Linked DNA regions of Cricetulus griseus. The protein of the gene in region 2 purifies or fractionates together with the protein of the main gene of each other region. This does not show direct contact. Links are inferred from orthologs where the notes say so. Each region holds a gene or a part of one and is shown on either strand. Other genes may lie near its edges.

The links.
Region 1: the proteins of Ranbp2 (region 2) and Bicd2 purify together in Homo sapiens (affinity purification with western blotting; 3 studies listed by BioGRID and IntAct, with this or other methods). This does not show direct contact. The link is inferred for Cricetulus griseus from reciprocal best matches to the Homo sapiens genes RANBP2 and BICD2.
Region 3: the proteins of Ranbp2 (region 2) and Nxf1 purify together in Homo sapiens (co-immunoprecipitation; 5 studies listed by BioGRID and IntAct, with this or other methods). This does not show direct contact. The link is inferred for Cricetulus griseus from reciprocal best matches to the Homo sapiens genes RANBP2 and NXF1.

What each region holds. Positions count from the first base shown.
Region 1 is NC_048596.1:269,183,232-269,186,802, reverse strand, and holds part of Bicd2 (protein bicaudal D homolog 2), read right to left. Parts: intron 2,000-3,571; coding exon 1,538-1,999; intron 864-1,537; coding exon 1-863. UniProt on the Homo sapiens protein: Acts as an adapter protein linking the dynein motor complex to various cargos and converts dynein from a non-processive to a highly processive motor in the presence of dynactin.
Region 2 is NW_023276807.1:2,653,928-2,658,078, reverse strand, and holds the start of Ranbp2 (E3 SUMO-protein ligase RanBP2), read left to right. Parts: upstream 1-1,336; 5' UTR 1,337-1,449; coding exon 1,450-1,521; intron 1,522-4,151. UniProt on the Homo sapiens protein: E3 SUMO-protein ligase which facilitates SUMO1 and SUMO2 conjugation by UBE2I. Involved in transport factor (Ran-GTP, karyopherin)-mediated protein import via the F-G repeat-containing domain which acts as a docking site for substrates.
Region 3 is NC_048596.1:51,324,796-51,329,131, reverse strand, and holds the end of Nxf1 (nuclear RNA export factor 1), read left to right. Parts: coding exon 1-48; intron 49-167; coding exon 168-275; intron 276-372; coding exon 373-431; intron 432-519; coding exon 520-635; intron 636-757; coding exon 758-800; intron 801-1,350; coding exon 1,351-1,423; intron 1,424-1,984; coding exon 1,985-2,167; intron 2,168-3,182; coding exon 3,183-3,243; intron 3,244-3,477; coding exon 3,478-3,516; 3' UTR 3,517-3,813; downstream 3,814-4,336. Other genes in the region: Tmem223 (transmembrane protein 223), read left to right, coding at 3,912-4,215.

The DNA.
Region 1 (3,571 bases), on a different chromosome or scaffold from region 2:
GTGCGGTCTACGGCGGCCTGGAGGTGCTTGATCTGGTCTCGGATGATGGCGATCAGGTTGTAGATGTTCATTGGTTCCCTGCGGGGGTCACTCAATGGTGATGGCAGTGAAGAGCTGGGAGAGGGGCTGCTGTCCCCAGTCCCACCATCTGCTCGCCCTACCTCTGTGGCCAACAGCCCCTTGGACAAAAGGACAGGTGAACGGCGCCCTCGGCCCTCAGGGCTGGTGCGGCCAGCCTTGCCCTGGCCCTCACGGTAATAATCCAGCATGACACGGTTGGGCGTCTCATTGTTGCACATACACACATGGTGGTAGAGGTTGGCCAGCTCCTCACTGAAGGTCACCAGCTCATCCTGAGCTACATTCAGGCTGCCCTGGGTCTCACCGGCCACATCGCTCACTTTCTTCAGCTCCTTCTCCAGCTGGGCCAACAGCTCTCGGTCCTGGTGGCTAGCCTTCTCTAGCAGAGAGACCTTCTCTGTAAGGGCCTGGCCCTCAGCCTCATAGCGGCCTTTCTCTTCTGCGTGCTGGGCCTCACAAGCTTCGTGTGTGCTGCGCAATGCCTTGAGCTGCTCCCGGAGTTCACCAGCCTCAGCCACAGCCACGTGGTACTTGCAGGCCATGATCTCAGGCCCATTGATGTCTACCTCATAGTAGTCACCATCTTCGTGGCTATCACGGTCCTTCTCGTTATCCAGGGAAGTCTGCTGTTCCTTGCCAGCCTGCAGGCGACGCAGAGCGCTAAGGTTGTCTGTGAGGCGGCTCACCTTCTCCTGTTGCTCAGAAAGGGACCCCCGAGCCTGCTCCAGCTGCTTCTGTGTGTCCTGCAGTGTGGCCAGTAGGCCCATCTTCTCCCGCTCCATCTGCAAAGGGAGATACAGCAGGAAAGATAGTCAGTAAGCTTAAAGGACTACAGGTGGCCCAGCAACATCTCGGGCTATGCCAGATGGGCCATGGGCTATGCAAAATCCCTGGTCATGCCACTAGTGACAGCGGACTGGACAGAATTCACCAACTAAAGTCGTCACCCATAAAGGTTCACTCTACATGTGTTGGAGCAAAGCTGGGCTTCACACATAGAACTCCAGAGCAAATTGGCAGGTTCCCTAAGTGTCCCAGCTTTCTACCACTTTCCTTCTCCTGTTGTGGAGGACACTCATTTCCTAGGTCAACGCTAAACTTTGGGATGTGCTGATGTATGGCCCTGCTGAGACTCTAGCTGGACTATGGTTGGAGTTTACACAAGGGGCCATGACACCTCACCCTGACATGATATGGGTAGCAAAGGGAGAAGCAACATAGACACCTAGGACTAAACTTTACACAATAATCTGGAAGCTACTTCCCTGGGACACTACTCTTCACTAACAGAGTTTCATTTGGGGTAAAGATACGGGATCTAAAACCAGTACAAGTAAATGAAAGGCAGCTGCCACATGTCACAACAGCACTGCTTCCATAGGACATGCAGGCCTGCCAGCACTGCAAAAGGCAGTGGGGACAGGGAAGGACGGAGCACCAGGCCCTGCCTATTCACCTGCACCAGCTGCTGCTTCAGCTTCTGGATCTCAGATATGTGGAGCTCACTGAGCAGGTCGGAAACAAGGCTCGGGGAGGGTGGAGCCAGGCCATCCTTCCTGGGTGTGGACGTCTTGTTGTCCAGTGAGGATTTGAGCAAGCCACTATGCTCAAAGCCGTTGGCCAGGGCTTCAGCGTCATTGTTGGGCTCAGCAGTGACGGCATCATCACTGAACTTGAGGCCGTCTAAGGAGACCTGCAGGTGGCTGGTGTAGAAGGAGTCGTTGATGGCCATGTAGTGGGACAGCTCCTTGCGGAGGTTGTTCTTCTGCTCCCGCTCTGTCTTCAGTGTCTCTAGCGCCTCCTCCAACTGCCGTTCAGAGATCTCCTTAAGCCGGATGGCATCTTCCAGCTGGCTGTTGAGGTACTCGGTCTCCTCCTCCAGGCGCTTGATTTCATGCTTGAGGCCCTCAAATTCCACCTGGGGAATAACACAGAGACTTCCGTGTCAAGGCCATGTGGAGGCTACACTCTGGACAATGCCAGAGCACTACCTCCCCGACCACAAAGAACAAGGAGACCCACAGAATGAAATGCCACCCTCTAGGAGAGGGCAGTGGCTACAAAGGCCACTTTCTACATCAAGCAACACAGATGCTCAGAGGGTACTTCTGGAGCATTGGGAGTAAAAGAAACATTCAACCCACTGCCAGGATCAATGTGCCTGCGAAGCACACGGAACCTGCAATGCCATGGATGAGGATTAACATGGAGGCTGCCAAATTCCTGCTATATTTCTGAAAATTAGTACCAGTGTGCATTGACTTAAAATTCCATAAAATTACTCATTTAACATTAACAGCTAACCAAATCTCTCTTTTAAATGTATGTTCATGATTATGGGGGGGGGCAGGGAATGCACAGGCCACTGTACAAAGTGGAGATTCTCTCCTTCCACCTCTATGTGAGCTCTGGGAACCGGGCTTGAGTCACGAGGCTCGCAGGGTAAACAGCTCTATCCACTGAGCCCTAACTAGGTTATTTTTTTTTTTTTTAAATTGACTTATTTTGTATGCAGTGTTCTGTCTGCATGTATCCCTGCAGTCCAGAAGAGATATCATTACAGATGGCTATGAGCCAAAATGTGGTTGCTGGGAATTGAACTCAGGACCTCTGTAAGAGCAGCTAGTGCTCTTAACTGCTGAGCCGTCTCTCCAGCCAACCAGGTTATTTTAAGGCACATAAAATAGATGCTTTGTTGTGTGCTATGGCCATTATTTTGAATCATATTTCTAAACAAAGGAACTGGACTTCCCATCAAGGCTGAATGCAAGTATGGAGGAGCTGGAGGGCCAGAGGGAAAGCATAACTGGTGCTCTAAACAAGACACAATTTGAGAGTGGACAAAAAAAGAGTAAATGGCAGTTGATGCTTACTGTGAGGCTCCGGTATATAAAAACATCTCACTGTAATGTTAAGTACTGAACGAATCTCTCTGGGTTTGGGGTAGGAAGGGAAACCCGATACAGCACTCTAAGTGTTCCCACATCCCAGTACCCCAAGTGAGGGTGAGGAACCTCAGAGAGGTGTGGCTCCACGGAATGCAAGGTCTCCTTGAGCTCTGGCTTTTCTCCTCAGGGCACTGTGGGCAGTAGCACCAACCAATGCCCAATGGAACCTCATGCTTATGTACTACAGGATGGAGCGGTGAGCCCTGCTCCTAGGGTTGCCCAGCACCAGAATCCATCCCCTGCCTGCTTTTGCAAACACAAAAGCTTCTTTCTACACAGGCACACAGGCTTCCTCCTGCAGGATATAAAACCTGGGTGCACTGACGGTGAGGCCTTAGCTGTAAGATGATCTGGGTTCTAACAAAAAAAAAGCAAGACAGCATCCATGGTATTTGGGGGTAAGGCCTGGCTGGGATTTCCTGAGAGAAAAGGCTCCCTGTAGGCTATAGCTCCTAGAGAATGGGAAGCATGTCCAGGCACTGAGTGGTTCTCACCCTCACCCATCCAGGAGGACTTCCTAATCTTTGCCACAGATTAGGGGA
Region 2 (4,151 bases):
CCTGCCTCTGCCTCTCAAGTGCTGGGGGTTGGTTAAAGGTGTGGTCCACCACTGCCCGGCAAAACTATTAGTTTAAAAAAGATTTTAATGTTTGTGTGTATCTCAGCACGTGTGTGCTCGGGTGCTACAGAGGTGAAAGATTTAGACCCTCGGAACTGGTTAGGGGTGGTTGTCGGCAACCAGATATGGGTGCTGGGAACTGAACTTGGGTCCTTCGGAGTAGCCAATATAACTTATAATTTATTACCGCTAATTGTTAAGTCACAAAACAGGACCCCAAACGGCAGTGCTGTTAACAATGTCGTAGATGGCCGGCCGCCCCGATTCTCACCCGGGGAAACAGAAACATTTTAGAATTTTTTTTAAAGATTTATTTATTTATAAATAAATGTATACAGTGTTCTGCCTGCATGTATGTCTGCGGGTCAGAGAGGGCACCAGACCTCATCACAGATGGTTGTGAGCCACCATGTGGTTGCTAAGAATTGAACTCAGTACCTGCGGAAGAACAGGCTGTGCTCTGATCCTCTGAGCCATCTCTCTCCAGCCCCAGAAACATTTTAAATTCAGCATTCCTCAGAAATCTAAGGATCCTGGTTTGTGTTCGTCAGGAAAGCCATCACTTCCCTTTTTTGCCCCTAACGGTCTATTACGCCGGGAAAAGTGCATCTCACCATGTAACGCCAATATTTCAACCATGTTTGGTTTATCCAAACATAAAGTCTTGGCCCAGTATTAACTATTATTCTGTTGAAACGAAAAGACAATGATGAAGTTCGTCTCTTTAAAAGGAAATCAACTTTTAAAATTTGACTAGATGGAGCGTCAAAAAGGTCGGACTCTCAGGGCGCTGTCATTTTGGGTCCTCTTTGTGATGTACCACTAATGAAATATATAAAGAGTTTTTTACACCCCCCCTCCCGGGGGGAAGAGTTATTCACATTCGTTTGAAAAGGGGGGAATATATATATATATAGAGAGAGAGACAGACAGAGAGAGAGAGAGAGAGAGAGAGAGAGAGAGAGAGAGAGAGAGAGAGAGAGAGAGAGAGAGAGAGAGAGAGAGAGAGAGAGGAGAGAGAGAGAGAGAGAGAGAGAGAGAGAGAGAGAGAGAGAGAGAGAGAGAGAGAGAGAGAGAGAGAGAGAGAGAGAGAGAGAGAGAGAGAGAGAGAGAGAGAGAGAGAGAGAGAGAGAGAGAGAGGAGAGAGAGAGAGAGAGGAGAGAGAGGAGAGAGAGAGAAAACGGTAACGTGGTCTGAAGGCGGGAGGCGACAAACAGGCGCGTCAGACCGCAGCGTGGCGCACGGTGATGACGCGAGTCGCACGCGCCGCCCCCATCCGTTCGCGACGGAGCTGCGTCACCGGTGTTCGGTGCTCACCTCCTGGAGACAGCGGCGGCTGTAGGCCCCAGGGCTGGCCTCCCGCTCTCGGGGAGCCTGGTCGGCGGCGCGATGAGGCGCAGCAAGGCCGAGGTGGAGCGGTACATCGCCTCGGTGCAGGGCTCCGCCCCGTCGCCGCGAGAGGTGAGCAGGTCCGGCCCAGCCGGCCGGCCAGCCGGCGTCATGGCTCCCGGCGGCCTCGGCTCCGGCTGGAGCGGAGGCGGCCGCGGGCGGCGTGGCGTGGCGCTGCTGAGCACCGGAGGCGCGGGCACTGCGGCCGCCCGCGTTTCCTCTTCATGGCGGGCCGCGGGCTCACTCGGGCCTCGTTGCCTCGGTCTCGGCGGGGCAGGCCGGCTTGGGGCGCTCTTCGGGGCTCGCCTGGCAGCGGCAGGCGCCTTCGGCCCCCGGGATAGACAGATCCGGCGACGCAGGCCGTGTCTGCCCGGGAGGTTGACGCCGCCCGGCGGGGGGCTTTTACCGTTGTGCGGGTGGCTCCGTGGACATGGAGCGGACGAACAGCCGCATTCGCAGGGCGCGTCGCACGGGAGGCCCTTAATTGGAGTCTTCCGTTGCTGTGCCCCGCTCCTTACATCGCCTTTCCCAAAATCTCCTTTGGAAGCTATCTTGGCTTTTTAAAAAGTTCTTTTACTTAAAGGTAGAAGGTCAGAAATTTTAAATTCTTTACAGGCAGTAGTTGCTGTGCCTTAACGTTGCTAACGTTTTCCCGTAACATGTTCCGTGGCTGTTTTTCTAATTTTGAAATCATTCATGTGTTTATGATTATTTTATATTCTTCAAGAGGGTTCGCCGGTGGAGATGTTCAGAGGCTCTAGAGTCAGTTTTTCTGGGGTTGAAGAGTCGGGTTTTGCCATTTCTAAACTGTAATTTGATATAGTATAGACTTTTCATCAATAAAAACACAGTTTTGATTCATGTTAAACATTTAGGGCAACCTTGAAATACAGCGAGCTTCAGTTTATCTATTGCAAACACACAGTTCAGTTTGTCTTTTTTTTAATTCTGAAAAATAGTTGTCTCTAAGGGTTTTATGATCGTCCATTTATACAAAAATGCACGGATGCACAAGTCCCTTATGCAAACAGCATAGTTTTCTGTTACCTTTAATCTTTTCTTAGGTAGTTTGAAAGAGTTAGATAATCCAGTCCAATAAAAATAACCCCTCAAAACTAGAATCCAAAGTGATCTTAAGAAATTTCATGTTTAATGCTGGGCAGTGGTGGCACACGCCTTTAGTCCCAACACTTGGGAGGCACAGACTAGCCTGGTCTACAGAGTGAGTTCTAGGACATCAGGGCTGTTACACAGAGAAAACCCTGTCTTGGAAAACAAAACAAAATTCAACTTCATTTAATGCTGTATGCCACAGGGGAAATTTTACAGCCAGTTTCCTCTGATGTGTCAAAATCAAAGTTCCAGGGCACAAAACATTATCAAATGAAAATACCTTCAGGTTTCTGTGTATAAAGTCTACATTAAACAAATGTATTTATATTGACTTGGGTCTTGTCACCAGGATATCTCATATGCTTGAAAATACTTAAAAACCTGAAGGAAAAAAGCAAAACCCAGAGACGCTGAAATCTATTAATGCCAAGCATTTCAAATAAGGCATACTCAAATAATAGTACCTAATACTATAAAAATAGTTGTTAAATTTTGTTAGGAACAGTGACAAGCAAATAATTTGTATGTATTCAGTTTTGCTTTTTCTGTTTCTGACTGGCCTTGAAGTCACAGAGCCTTTGCCTCCCAATTGCTTGTGTGCACCATTGAAGGTGTGCACCATGCCCAGCTACCAACATATTTTTTAAAAATACTTTTTGATGTAAGATTGGTTGGGTTGGATAGTGACCAACTTGGAGAGCAACAACCATAAGAAAGTTTGTCATAACTATTTTCATTCATTGTTCACTTTTGTGGCATTAACACAGTGTGTTGTTTAACCAAAACCCTTTGTAGTTAAAAAAAAAAAAAAGTTATGCCAAACAAGTTCTGTAACCACTAAGAAATAATGCCACAGGCCCTTCTTTCCTGTGCTCCTGGTGACCTGTATTTTATGTTTTGTATTTTATGAATTTGGTTATTGATATTTCATGTTTGTAGGATATTATATTTTGTTCTTTTGTGTCTAGATCATTTCACTTGGTGTATTTTCAAGATCATTCATGTTGTGGCAGGTGTTAAGAGTCATCTTTTTTTTTTTTTTTTTTTTTTGGTTTTTCGGGATAGGGTTTCTCTGTGGCTTTGGAGGCTGTCCTGGAACTAGCTCTTATAGACCAGGCTGGTCTCGAACTCACAGAGATCTGCCTGCCTCTGCCTCCCGAGTGCTGGGATTAAAGGTGTGCGCCACCAACGCCAGGCGAGTCATCCATTTTTAATGGCTGAATAATAATATATATATATATATATACTTAGGTATGCCACATTTTGCTTATTCATTTACTGCTGATTGACATTTAGGTTGTTTGTATCTTTTGCCCAATACATACAATGTAGCAAACAATGATGTAAAAATATTTTAGTGTCTGCTTTTAATTCCCTTGAGTTTACAACAGGTTTTCTGAGGAGCCCTCAAACTCCTTTCTATAGTGACTGTACTTTCTTATGTTCCTGCTGTCAATTTATAGGTTTTCAATTTCTTTATTTTTTTTACCAATGTTTCAAATTCAAATTTATTATCTTATTTCATTTTACTGAGAGAGAGAGAGAGAGAGAGAGAGAGAGAGAGAGAGAGAGAGAGAATAAGCGCTCTT
Region 3 (4,336 bases), on a different chromosome or scaffold from region 2:
TTTTGGAACAGAGAACCTAAAGAGTTTGGTCCTGCATTTCTTGCAGCAGTGAGTATCCCAGGAGCCCCTTGGGTGGGGGGTTAGTTACTGGCCTATGCATAGCTCACTACTGTGTCCCTTTGCTTTCAGACACAGAACTCAGACTCTTCCTTTCACTTTCCTTACAGGTACTATGCAATTTATGACTCAGGAGACCGTCAGGGTCTCCTGGATGCCTACCATGATGGCGCCTGTTGCTCACTAAGCATTCCTTCCATCCCCCAGAACTCTGCCCGGTGAGTGTCACGTGTCAGAACCTACCCATAACCACAGGATTCATTGGGATACAGGCCACAGTTCTTATCACCACCATCTTCCCCTCCTATTTTCCAGAAGCAACTTAGCTGAATACTTCAAAGACAGCAGAAATGTGAAGAAGCTTAAAGATCCCAGTAAGTATGTCAGTCAAATGGAAATAGTCATTAGAGCTAGCCAGTGCAGGTGTGTCCTAACCTTGGGCTCTCTTCCTTCTGCTTGCAGCCCTGCGGTTCCGGCTGTTAAAGCATACACGTCTCAACGTTGTTGCCTTCCTCAACGAGTTACCCAAAACTCAACATGATATCAATTCCTTTGTGGTAGACATAAGTGCCCAAACAGTAAGCATATGTTCTCCTGACAGAAGCCCAGAACTGGGGTGGGTGATGGGTTCAGCACTCACTAGGTGAGGAGCTCAGGCTCTGGTGGGGAACCTCCATTGCTTATGCTGTTTCTCTTTCAGAGCACATTGCTATGTTTTTCTGTCAATGGAGTCTTCAAGGAAGGTAAGAATCTTGAGTCCTCCTAAACTTTCTCTGTATCCTTAGTTCCCCAGCTATCTTCTCATCCCTTTTCTTCTCTGACCTTCCTGTTTTATCCAGACTATCTTAACTCCTACCTGTCTTAGATGCAGTGTGACAAAAATGTGGGGACCAGAACAGAGTAGATGAAGAGTCAGTTAGCCAGGTCTCCTTTCCAGCCCTGGGTTTATTCTGTGGGTCTGGGAAAGTTACTGAACCTCAATTTTTTTTTGTTTTGTTTTGTTTTTTTAGATGAGACTTGTAATACTCTTGCACAGTGGTGCTTTAGGAAGTGAAGTGACTTCGATATTTTGCCAAGCCATGGGCTAAGCACTTTCTAATTTGCCTCCCCTACTTCCTACTAACTATCCTCCAGATCTGTCCCTTTATCCTAATTCTGTTCCCCTGTGTCCAAATAACCATCCTTACCTGGCCAAGTTAGGATTCTTTGTATCAAATGCTGAGATATGAGAAACTTTTATAAAGATTAAGCCTGAGTGACTCTAAGGGACCATTGCTTTTATTCTCATTGCAGTGGATGGGAAGTCTCGAGATTCTTTACGTGCGTTCACGAGAACGTTTGTTGCTGTTCCTGCCAGCAATTCAGGGTAAGTGCTCAGCTTACCCTGTGAGTCTCATTCTCAGACCAGCAGTGTGATAATTGGAAAGAATTCTTCCCCAGGGAGTTACCAGAATTGTAGAAAAGCAATAGGAAGTTCATGAAGCCTGAGAACAACTATCAGTAGGTTGAGGACTGAATATATAATAATTCTAGTGTGTTTGGGAGATAATCCTCCTAAACACCTAGTCTGAAGTCAAGAATAAATGATAAGGGCTGAAGAGATGGCTCAGAGGTTAAGAGCACTGACTGCTCTTCCAGAGGTCCTGAGTTCAATTCCCAGCAACCACATGGTGGCTCACAACCATTGGTTATGAGATCTGGTGCCCTCTTCTGGTGTGCAGATAATACATGGAAGCAGAATGTTGTATACATAATAAATAAAATCTTTAAAAAATAAAATTAAAAAAAAACAATAAATGATAAAAGGTAACATGGGATGGGCATATGGATATTAACCAGATCTAAGAACAGACAGATCTAAGAACAGAGACAGTGTAGAAGGGTGAGGTTATTTGTTCATTTATTTAGTGTGTTCTCTGCCCCCAAGGCTATGTATTGTAAATGATGAATTATTTGTGCGGAATGCCAGCCCTGAAGAAATCCAAAGAGCCTTCGCCATGCCTGCACCCACACCTTCCTCCAGCCCAGTGCCCACGCTCTCCCCAGAACAACAGGAAATGTTGCAAGCATTCTCTACCCAGTCTGGCATGAACCTCGAGTGGTCTCAGAAGTGAGTCTTGAGCATGGATAGGGCCAAGAGGGAACAAATGGCCTGACAGTGAATAACAGTGCTTTAAAAAAAAAAAAAAAAAAAAAAAAAAAAAAGATTCTTAGACCTGCCTCCAAAGCCAAAGAGAAACCCTGTCTCAAAAAACCAAAAAAAAAAAAAAAAAAAAAAAAAATTCCTACTAAGACTTCTGCATAAATAATTTATATAAAGTTCCAAAGCACAAATGAAGAGTGACTTGTTGCCCTCCCACCTACCTATTGCTCCCTTCTCCCCCGGCAGAATGAGGAATTGAACCTAGCTAGACATCATATATGCAAGGCAGACACTACCACTGAGCTAATTCCCCTGGCCCTCTTTTTGTTGTTTTGAGATGGGGTCACACTATGTACTTGTCTGGCCTTGAACTCTCTATCTGCCTCCAGAATGGTGTGATTAAAGGAATGAGCCATTGCCCCTGGCTACCCAGTCATCTTCTTAGTTGTCATTCATTTTGAGACATGTTCTCAATAAGATACCAGCTCTTTACCAAGTCCTGTGAGCCTCATCATTCAAAGGGAGCTGGGAATATTAGGTGCATACAGTGTTCCAGAGCCCTTTTATGTATAGTTCTGCAACATAGTTTTCCTTTGAGACAGGGTTTCATTCACTGTGTCCTTGGCTGCTTGTAAGTCACTATATAGCTCAGGTTTGCTCAAATTTAGTGACTTTTACCTCCTTCAGCCTCCTGAGTGGTGGGATTAAAGGCCTCACCATCTTGCTACCAGCAACTTGGTTTTTAAGCCATGAAAATCCTTCCCTTCTAGTGTAAAAGTACTTTGGTCATTTTTGTTAGACATTTTGACACTTTAATGTTTCATTTGTATAAGTGGTGCAACAATGTATAAATGTAATTACTAGGAAACTTTGATGACTTTCTCCTTGATGGAATCTGGAGTGGCTTTTCTTTTTTTTGAGAGATGAGAGTGACTGCATTTTGGTTCTCACGTGGCTTCTTCCTGTTTTACTCCCACTCCAGGTGCCTTCAAGACAACAACTGGGACTATACCAGATCTGCTCAGGCCTTCACTCATCTCAAGGTAGAGCATGGAAATTGTGTGGCTGTAAACTGGGAGCTCTGAGCTTTGGAAAGGGTCACATGAAGGCTGGGTGTGGTGGTGCACACCTTTAATCCCAGCAGTTGGGAGGCAGAGGCAGCCAGATTGAATTTAAAGCCAGCCTGGTCTATACAGAGTTCCAGGTCCCGTGGTCTGGCAGGGCAGGTGGGAAAGGAGTCCTCTGGCTCTATTCACCTTTTCTCTTTCTTTCTGCAGGCCAAGGGAGAGATTCCAGAAGTAGCGTTTATGAAATGATCACAGGAAAAGCCCCCTTGTAAATAGCCCGTGGATAATATTGTCTGGCTGTCATCTGCCATCTCCTGTCCCGCCCGAGGCCAGCCTGTAACTGTGACTGAGGAGGGAGGGCTGCCTCATCTTCCTCACCTACCTTCTGGAAGACTTACAGAAGACTTCTGGAAGATTGAGCCTCGTGGTGCCAGGAAGCCAAAGCTTACTTTGTAGAGCTGACACTAAACTACCCGAAGGACTTAGGTGCTCTGTGTACTTAACCCCTGATTCCCTTTACTTTTTAAGATAAAGAGTGATATTGTAGTTTGTGTCTCATTACTGGCTTGTTTCCCTCAATGCAGAAGGGGTGGGAGAGTGCGTCATGACAGGAAGTCCCGCCCCAGAGACGGAAGTGCCCCGCCATGGCGGCACGTTGCCGGCAGTGGGTCAGCGGGTTGTTGTCCGTGCTACGTTCCCCTCCTGTATGCCGGCATTTGCAAAGTGGGGTACCACGGGATGTGCTGCTCTTCCAGCATGAACGGGGCCGCTTCTTTGCCATCCTTGGACTGTTTTGCGCTGGTCAGGGCATCTTCTGGACCTCCCTGGCTGTTGCAGCATTGTCCCGACCTCTGATCCGGGTTCCTGCAGAGGCTCCCAACCGGGGCTACACGGACCTGCGCTCTGCACTCTGGCGCTACGGGCTAGCTATTGGTTGCGGCACGATGGGTAAGGGCATGGGTTCCGGGTTGCCCTAGGGCTGTGAGCACAAAACTCACTCAATGAAGAAGGGTTCCCAATCCTCCCAGATGAGCAGAAATGTAAGTGGGATTCCCGGTATGGGTGTAAT